Linked DNA regions of Callithrix jacchus. The protein of the gene in region 2 interacts with the protein of the main gene of each other region in a biochemical or structural test. Links are inferred from orthologs where the notes say so. Each region holds a gene or a part of one and is shown on either strand. Other genes may lie near its edges. The genes, in order: TRIM62 and CARD9.

Region 1 (4,317 bases), on a different chromosome or scaffold from region 2:
CCAGAGGCCCAGGCCCTTGCTCACTCTCTGATGGGGCCTTCATTCTCAGACAGCTAGACTGGAAGGGAGTCAGTTGTAGTTTCAAGATAAAAGGGACAGGGAGGGGGCAATGGTGAACATGGGCCATTTCTCCTGAGGCCCATGGGGATCTGCTGGGTGCAGGCTTACTCACAGACTCGTGTATGGAGGGGTTGGGAGCCCCTCTAATACAGGGGAAAGTAGTTATTTAGTTCCTGTTTGGGTATCTTGAGGCCAGAGAGCTCATTACCTCCCAAGTTAGCCTACTCCATTTTCACAAAATGTTTGAACCAAAAACCGTCTGCTTCCAAATGCTCCACAGTCTGGTTCAGCTTAGGCCAGGGTTGGTCATTCTTTCATTCATTAATTCAGCCTTTATTGGTCTATACTGTGGGCAAGGCCTTGCACCAGGCTTTGGGGCTATAGATAGGAGACATAAGATACTGTCTCTGGCATTGGAGAATTATGTGCTCGACTAATATCCCAAAGCCAGGAACATGGGACTGCTGGATTTAAGTGATTTAGCTTGAAAAAAGGATTCCAGGCCCAAATAAACTTGGGAGCCATTTTATTAAACACAATAAAATAGATTTATTTGCAACAAGATTTCTCTAAGCTTTTAATATGCAAACGTACACTGAAAATTCTCCAAGGGGGTGGGTATAAGAAAATATACTACGTTTCCCATATGTATTAATAGAGGGCATTTGGGGAAATACAGTTCTAATGTCTTTTTAAAAATTATCGATTGATTGATTGATTTTGTCAGTGGAGCTTGGAGAAGGCTTCACAGAGAGGACATCTGAGCAGGGCCTTAAGCGTTGAGTAGGAATTTGTCAGTGAAGATGGGAAGTCTTAAGGGAGACCAATTAGAGTTCTAGGTCAACTATGCTAAGTCCCTCTGAATGTACCATTTCACTTAGTCTTCAAAGATCCTGACGTAGGGGACAGAGCCAAAGAGGTCATCAAAAACCCTTGGAGACTCCTAGAGGTCTAGCCCCTCCCTTCTTGAATCACCTTACATCTGGGCCTTATTCTCCAAATCTTTACTTTTCAAGTCCTGGCCCCACTCAACCTGGTCTCTACTCTGGCTTAAATCTAAACTTGTTGTAGAGGATCTGGACCAGCTCTCAGTCAACCCCTCATACAGCTTGGCCTAATCCTCGGCACTCAAACCTGCCTTCTCAACAGTTTGGCACTCTAACTTACACCCCTCTATTAGGTTTCATCCTCACCTGCCCAGCACATTCTAGCCCCCGTACTCCCCTTAATCCTGATGCACATCTGATCCAGTCTCCGCCCCACAGAACCCCCAGCCTGCCAGAGCTTAGTTACCCGGGTTAGTACAGTCCTATCCTCGTGGCCTCGCCCTCAGTCTGACAGTGGCCCTGCCTTTGCCCAGCTCTGATTCAGCTCCGTCCACAACCCTGCTCCAGCCCAGTACCTGGTACAGCTCTGATCTCATTTGTTCCCGCTGTCCCATCCCCGTCCTGGACCTCTCCCTAACCACGGACCAGCCCCTACTCCAGGTCAGTCTCAGATCCCGCGGGTAAGGACTGCCCAAGGCCCCGCCCCTGCCCCGCCCCGCCCCCTCCCCCGCCCTGCCCCGTGTTACTCCTGATAGGGCCCTGACCCTGCCGGCGGCCCCGCCCCGGGACCATTCCGACTGGGTCCGCCCCGCGGTCCAGCCCTGACCCCACCCCCGCCCCAGCCCCACCTCCAGCCCGGCCCCGCCCCCGCCCCAGGCCGGCCGGGCAGCGCACCTGCAGCTCCTCGAAGGCGTCGTCGATGCCGGTGACCTGGTGCTGCTCGTGCAGCGCGGGCTCGTCACAGAAGAAGCAGAGCAGCGCGCGGTCCGTGAGGCAGAAGAGCTTGACCTTGTCGTGAGCCTGGCAGGGTCGCGCGGCGCGGCGCGCGTTGAGGATGGCGTCCAGCGGGAAGGCGCTGTAGCGCTCCACGATGTTGGCCAGCTTGAGGCTGGGAGCCAGCGCCGGCTCGGCGAACGTGCGCCGGCACTCAGGGCAGTCGCGGGCACCCTGCGCCTCCTGCCGCACCCAGTGCTCGGTGATGCAGCGGCGGCAGAAGTAGTGCTCGCACCCCAGGCTCACCGGATCCTGGTAGATGCTCAGGCAGATGGAGCACAGCAGCTCGTCCTTGAGGCTGCACGCCATGGCGCCAGGGGCGGCAGAGAGGGGGGCTCGAGGGGCGGCGGGGCGGCTGAGAGAGCGCGGCGCTGTCGGGTGCAGCACCGAGGGCTGGGAGCCGGGACGAGGCCCGCACAGGCAGGGGTAGGAGCTACCCAAGAAGGGAGGGGGTGCTTTCCGGGAGGAGGGTAACGCAAGGAAGGGGTGCGCAGCTGAGACTCCCCGGGACGCCAGCCCGGGAGGGCAGTCTCGAGGTAGTGGGCAGCCCAAAGCGATGGGCGCCGGAGGGAGGAGGCCGTGGGCGGCTAAGGGACCAGGATCCTGGCGAGGAGGTTCTAGGGGGCGGGGCAGTCCGAAGGGATAGGAGCTGGAAGAAGGGGATCCTGGAGGGTGCTGGAGCCCTCGAGGGGGTCGAACTCCCGGGATGGGGGCGGTGGGGGGAGGGTGAGAAGCTGGGGATGGGAAATCCTGGGGGAGGGGGCAGCCAGGCCGAGCCGCACATTGGCTGTGACCCGCAGAGAAGAGGAGGGTTGCCGGCCCGCTCAACTGGCGGATCCCGGCCCCAAACCCTGGCCCGGGGCAGCCCCTTACCCCCGCGGGCTTAGCAGCCACCGCTTCGGTCCAGCGCAGCCTCTCAACCCGGAACCAGCCGTATCCGAGCTGCCGGCCGCGGCTGCCTCCCCGCCCCCGTGGGCGGGACCCGAGCAACTCCGCCCCCGCAGAGGGCGGGGGAGGGGCGGGGCAGCCAGCCGGTTGACCCCTCCCGCCCCGCCCCCATCATCCTCTAGCTCCCCGGGAAGCGAAGCCCAGCTGTTCCTTCGGGGTGTGTACTTGGAACTGCATCCAGGTCTGGCTTAGGGTCCCCGCGGCGAGGCAGAGCGGGGAGAGCAGCTAATTTGAGAGCACAACAAGTAAACAAGGAGCATCTTTCTGGATCATCGATTTGAAGATTTAGAAGAAATAATATTTTGTATTAAAACGAACAAGAATATGTTAGGAATACAACTTCTGCATAAAATATAAAGCTAAAACTCTCGAAATGCCCTGCTTGCTTAGAGCAAGTTCAAGGCTCTCACACTCCTAAGCCCTGGGGTCCCATTTCCTCTTCACTTTCTTAAGGAGTGCTTGGGGAGAAGTTTGGAAAGCCCTGGCTAACGTCTGGCCTCGGGGGCTGCCTCCATTGGCAAACAATTCTGGAGTGCTGTGTGTGTGTGTGTGTGTGTGTGTGTGTTTGCGTGTGTGTAAGGCCTAGGGGGAGTGAAGCAGGAGAGAGGGAGGAAAAGTAATAGGAGACTTTGTCGTGTGCCAGATGGAGAGGGGATAAGGGATTTCTAGGCAGAGGAGACAGCCTGTGCGAAAGCATAGAGGCGTGAAAGGGGAGGGTGCAGTGAAGGAAGTGCAAGTAATTCTGTACTGTTGGGGGTGGGGTGGAGAAAGGGCCTGGGTGGGCTGGAGGGCATTGTGGGTCCTGGTAAAGAATTTCTTGAAGGCATCAGGCTTTCAGGCAAGGAAATGACCTGGTCCGATTGGGTTTCAGGAAGTCTTGGAGATAATCATTATGCCATCTGCAAGGTGAAGAAGACAGGAAGTTTTTCCAATGTGTCTGCGTATGCACAGCACTCACCACACAGTAAGAGTGTGTAGCTGAATAACCACAGCAATGCCATGAGTTGCAAGAGGAAGGAAAGACTGAGCATCCCTGAGATGCTGTTGTCCTCGTGCCTAGAGAAGGCCAGACCCAAACTGTGGGTGAGGCCCGGACAGTGGGTAAGGAGAGAAGGCTAGGGTATTACAAGTACAGACCCGGTGAAATTTGGTGATGGTTGAATACGGGGGTGAGGGAAATGAGGCATCGAGGGTGGCTACCAGTTTCTGCCTTCTCCAGAAATATCTTCACTGGTGTTAAACTTTATTGAGGTACAGTTTATGAAAAAGCTCTCAGTTTAGTTCTCTGTTGTTAACACGTTCTCCATCACACTCTCATCTGGCCCAGAATCTCCATCATTGCCAGAAAAATGCTTGGTTGCTCATGTAACAGCCGTTGCTCAACTTTTTCTTATGGGCAGAGCCCTGATTTTGTTCAGGTGGCCCACTTCCCTATGTGACCAAAGAAAGGCTGAGCCCAGCCCATTTCTGGGAGTCAGTCTTGTTTGGT
Region 2 (4,301 bases):
AAAGAAAAAAAAAAAGAAAGCAGAAAAGAAAAAAGAAAGAGAAAGGAAGGAAGAAGATGGCAGGGAGGGGAAGGGGGGGAGGGGAGGGGAATATCTGTTAAGATGGAGCGGGATGGTAGAAGTTTCCCCTGACAGCAGGCTGGGATGAGGGAGTATTGACTTCATCAGTTTACTTTTTTTTTAGTGTTAGATATTCCTTCTGTTACTTAAAAAACAGGTCAGTGTGTTGGCTTAACCTGCAATCCCAGCGCTTTGGGAAGCTGAGGCCAGAGGATTTGCTTGAGGCCAGTAGTTTGAGGCCAGCCTGGGTGACATAGCGAGACCCCATCTCAAAAATAACAAAATAAAGATTAAAAACCCTCTGACAACTGCCCTCAAGGCCTGTGGCCCTGGTGCACCCACCTCGAATGGGGCACTCTGTTCCCCAGCCCCCACCGTGAGCACCCACCTGGTCCCGCTCGACAGCGACCTCCTCCATCTGCAACAGGATGGCCTCGATGCGGTCCTTGTACACCTTGCAGTCCTTGCGCAGGGCCCGACACTGCAGCTCCAACATCTCCTTCTCCTCCACGAACTGCAGGGGGTAGCAGCTCAGCCCCCAAGGCCTGAGGCTCCCCATTCTGACCAGTTGGGGGGTGCTCCAGCTAGGAGCTCAGGAACATGGGTCAGGTCAGTCGGGATGTTGGGGGAGGCCATAGGAGCCCCCAGGCCCCTATTACCCCGCCCTTCCAGACCACAGCAGCGCAGGGCTCTCCCCAGGCCTCAGGCACTGCCGTGCCCAGCTACAAGGAGCCCATGGCCTTTGCCATGGGGTGCAGGTGAGCAAGGAGTGATCACCATCCACTGTGCCTCCAGGAGTGGGTGAGTGGAGATGCTGCACTGGGGTCCCCGCACCCCACCTTCCAGACAGAGTGGGCGGAGCTCAGCCCACCTAGCCTAGCATGGCCCCCAGGGGCCACATGTCCTCGCCTGCGCTCGTACCCGGGCGTGACGGGCCTCGCCCTGGCGGAGGTCCTTGCGCAGGGAGAAGATGGTGCTGGCCTGCTCCTGGTGGTCCCGCAGCGCCTGCCTCCAGTCCTCTTCCAGCACCTGGATGTAGGGGCTGCTCCTGTCCAGCTTTCCCTCCTGAAGGGGGCAAAAAGCAATGGCCCAGCTGGGAAGGCCCATGCCACCCTGCCAGGCTGCACCCGCCCCACCTGTGCCCGCCCTGCCCGCAGCCACACCTGAACCGAGGCCTCCAGCTCCTGCACCCGGGCCTGCAGCAGGGCCTTCTCCTGCTGTAGCTCCCACAGCAGCTCCTGGCTGGGCCGCTGCTCCATGGCGTGCCTGAGCTTCAGTGTGTGCTTGCGTTCCACCTTGCAATCGTCCTCGGCCTTCATGAGGCTGTGCTTGAGCCGGTCGATCTGCAGAAGGCCGGGTGAGCCCAGCCATCCACTCCAGGTGCTGACAGCCGACCCACGGGGCTGCCCCCGACCCGCAGACCCCACCAGGCCAGGCGAGGGGGGCCACCCTGGTTCCCTGGGGCAGCAGGCGCACCTCCAGCTGCAGGTCGCGGTTCCGCATGAGCGCAGCGCCCTTCTCCTCGCTCTGGCGCGCCAGGCGCATGGCCAGGTCATAGTTCTCCTCCTTGCAGCGCTTGAGCTCACGGCTGCCGGCCTCGCACTCCTCCTTGAGCCTCTGCACACGCTCCTGGTGCTTGCGTAGCAGGCTGTCCTTCACCCGCAGCTCCTTGATGAAGTCGTCCTTGGAGCTCAGCAGCGCAGTCAGGTCCTGCACCTTCTTCTGCAGCTTCATGACCTCAGTCATCAGCAGCTGTGTCAGGCCTGACTCCCCGGACGCATCTGTGGACCGGGCCAGTGTCAGACAGGGCCCTTGTTCCCTGGCAGTCCAGCTCCATCACGCCTCGCGCTGTGGCAGGAGCTCAGGGCTCCTAAGCATGTGGGCCTGTCGGTTGACCGAGCACCACTGCCCAGCCCCGCCTTCCCTGCTGGCCCTGCCTTCCCCGTCACTCACCGATGATCATGGAGAAAACTCGGGCTGGCTCCTTGCCCGTGACCTTCTTGTACAGTTGCGGGTAGTAGAGCTCTAAGCTCTCGAGGAAGGCCACATAGCCCTTGTGGCCTGTCCGCTGCAGGATATCCAGGAGAACACCTGCAGGCCAGAGAGGCCGAAAAAGGGGCGGGGTGCTGGCGGGGCAGAGGGCTGGGATGGGTGGGCCCGGGGGCGGGGAGAGGTGGAGGCTGGGACGCAGAGGAGGTGTGCTGCTGTCTGGATCGTGGAAGAGGCACCCTGAGGGTCTAGGTGCTAGGCTGGGGGCAGTGCTGCCCACCCACCCCTTGGCTGTCTCAGGAGTCCCTGCTGTGGTGGGAGCCCCATGACCCCTCTTGGCAGCACCGAGCCAGCAAGAGAGGGCTGGGGGGTGGGGCGGCCACATGTCAGGGTTGAGTTTGGGCCTCACTGGGTGGCCAGGGGCAAAGCTGGGTGGGGTTCCTCTGGAGTTGAGGGTCAGGGTCGCAGAGCCTGCAGCCACCTCCGAGCTGGCTCCTTGGTTGGGTTTGGGGCCAGGAGCCTGTGGGACAGCACTGACCTACTTTCCGTTTGCGGATGACCAGGTTGGGGTCACTGAGCACCTGTTCCTCATCATCGGGATTCAGGACCTTGCACTGCCGCAGGTAGGGTGTGATGCGTGAGGGGTCGATGACCGAGGTGAGCGTCACCCGGAAGCCCTCCAGGGCACTCCAGCACTCATCATCGTTCTCGTAGTCCGACATGGCCCCAGCAGGCAGGCTGAGGAGAGTTGGGGCAGCCACTGAGCGTGACACGGCCTCCTGCCCCCACCCAGGCCCTGCTCCCACTCCCTTCTCAGATGCTGGGCCAGGGCTCTTGTCAGGGCTGTCAAGGGGATCAGCCCAGGGGCGTCTAGGAGAGGTGCCCATTCCCACAGCCAGATCCCCCAGGGAGGCAGCAGAGACACAGTGACACCTTCCCCTTCAGGTCCCTCCACAGCCTTTCCTAGCCCCTGCTGCTGCCCCTTGGCCATCCTGTCACCCAGATATGCACCCAGGGAGGCACAGATGGGTCCGAGAGAGGAACCCCCCCTTCAGCATGACCCCCACTCTGGCCTCTGCATCCTGGACACTCCCAATTCACCTTGGAGCCCTGGAGCCTGCAAGGACAGCCACCTCCATGGGTGGAGTGGTGTGAGCACCTGCCTGGCACTCTGGCCAGGCCAAGCTGGGTGAGAGCAGGTTGGCCTGTGACCCTCCCACCAGCACAGCAGCTGGGGGAGCTGGTCCTTCTGGGACTTCCTCATTCCCCTGACCGACACCCGCTCACATCCCGGGCTGTGCCCTCCCTCCTCCATGGCCGGCTGCTGATGATGCAAGAGTTGCCGCCCAGCCCTGCCACAGCTGCCAGGGTCACTGTACCAGCCAGGTAGAGCTGCCCACAGGAGTGTGTCTCTGTCACCCCCCCACTCCCTGGCCCCACAACCCTGGGAGGGGCTGTCAGTGTTGCCCTGGCCAGCCAGGAGTGCTGCTGTGGCATTTTCTCCAGGTTCCTAGGTGCTGGGCACCAGTGAATTCCTGGACTCTTCTGCCCCCCAGCCACCCCCTCCAGGACCATCTCGCTCACTGCAACAAAAGAACTACCCATGTTGGGACCAGCCACTGCTGTCCCTTTCTGCCAGCATGGTAGAAGCCTCCGCCACTGAAAGCCACTCCCTCCGGGACTGTGACTGGGCCAAGGCGGGGAGCACCCACATGGTCCTGCCTCCCACGCAAGACCCTGCTCCTCAGACAGCCTCCAGCCCCGCTGGGAAAGCTGGTTTCCAGCCCAAAGGAGCTGGGTCACCTCTCCTGGAGACAGTTGCCCCAGGCTTAGTCTTGTGAGGATTTTCTCAACTTCCTGCCGTGCTTTGTCTTCCCATTCAGGCCAATTTTGACAAACAGACAAGGGACTAAATAGAAGCACCACCCACACGGCAGACAGTCCTGGGAACACTGGGCCCCTGCCTTGCCTCTCCAGCCTGAATCCAGAGTCCCACCTGCCTCGGCTGGTAATGCCACTGAAATGTACACAGTGGCCGTGAAACGGATGGGGCCGCACATGGAGGCTGCCCGGCTCCCTGTGGAAAGCCTCATGCTGCTCTGGGGCATCAGCGCCAGGATCCTGAATGAGACTGACACCAACCTTCCTGGCCACCTTTCAGAAAAGCACCAGACCTACCCACCTGAGGGTCCAGGACCCACCTGACCGAAGACAAACCAGGAGTCTGGGCTGCAGAGCCTCTGGGAGATGCT

The links.
Region 1: of the proteins of CARD9 (region 2) and TRIM62, one has a biochemical effect on the other in vitro, tested with the Homo sapiens proteins (4 studies listed by BioGRID, with this or other methods). The link is inferred for Callithrix jacchus from reciprocal best matches to the Homo sapiens genes CARD9 and TRIM62.

What each region holds. Positions count from the first base shown.
Region 1 is NC_133508.1:69,757,231-69,761,547, forward strand, and holds the start of TRIM62 (E3 ubiquitin-protein ligase TRIM62), read right to left. Parts: upstream 2,816-4,317; 5' UTR 2,190-2,815; coding exon 1,782-2,189; intron 1-1,781. UniProt on the Homo sapiens protein: E3 ubiquitin ligase that plays a role in antifungal immunity by mediating 'Lys-27'-linked ubiquitination of CARD9 downstream of C-type lectin receptors; leading to CARD9 activation, followed by activation of NF-kappa-B and MAP kinase p38 pathways.
Region 2 is NC_133502.1:184,843,998-184,848,298, forward strand, and holds the start of CARD9 (caspase recruitment domain-containing protein 9), read right to left. Parts: upstream 3,085-4,301; 5' UTR 2,937-3,084; coding exon 2,588-2,936; exon of another isoform or gene 2,435-2,587; coding exon of another isoform or gene 2,152-2,434; coding exon 2,014-2,151; intron 1,842-2,013; coding exon 982-1,841; intron 575-981; coding exon 449-574; intron 1-448. UniProt on the Homo sapiens protein: Adapter protein that plays a key role in innate immune response against fungi by forming signaling complexes downstream of C-type lectin receptors.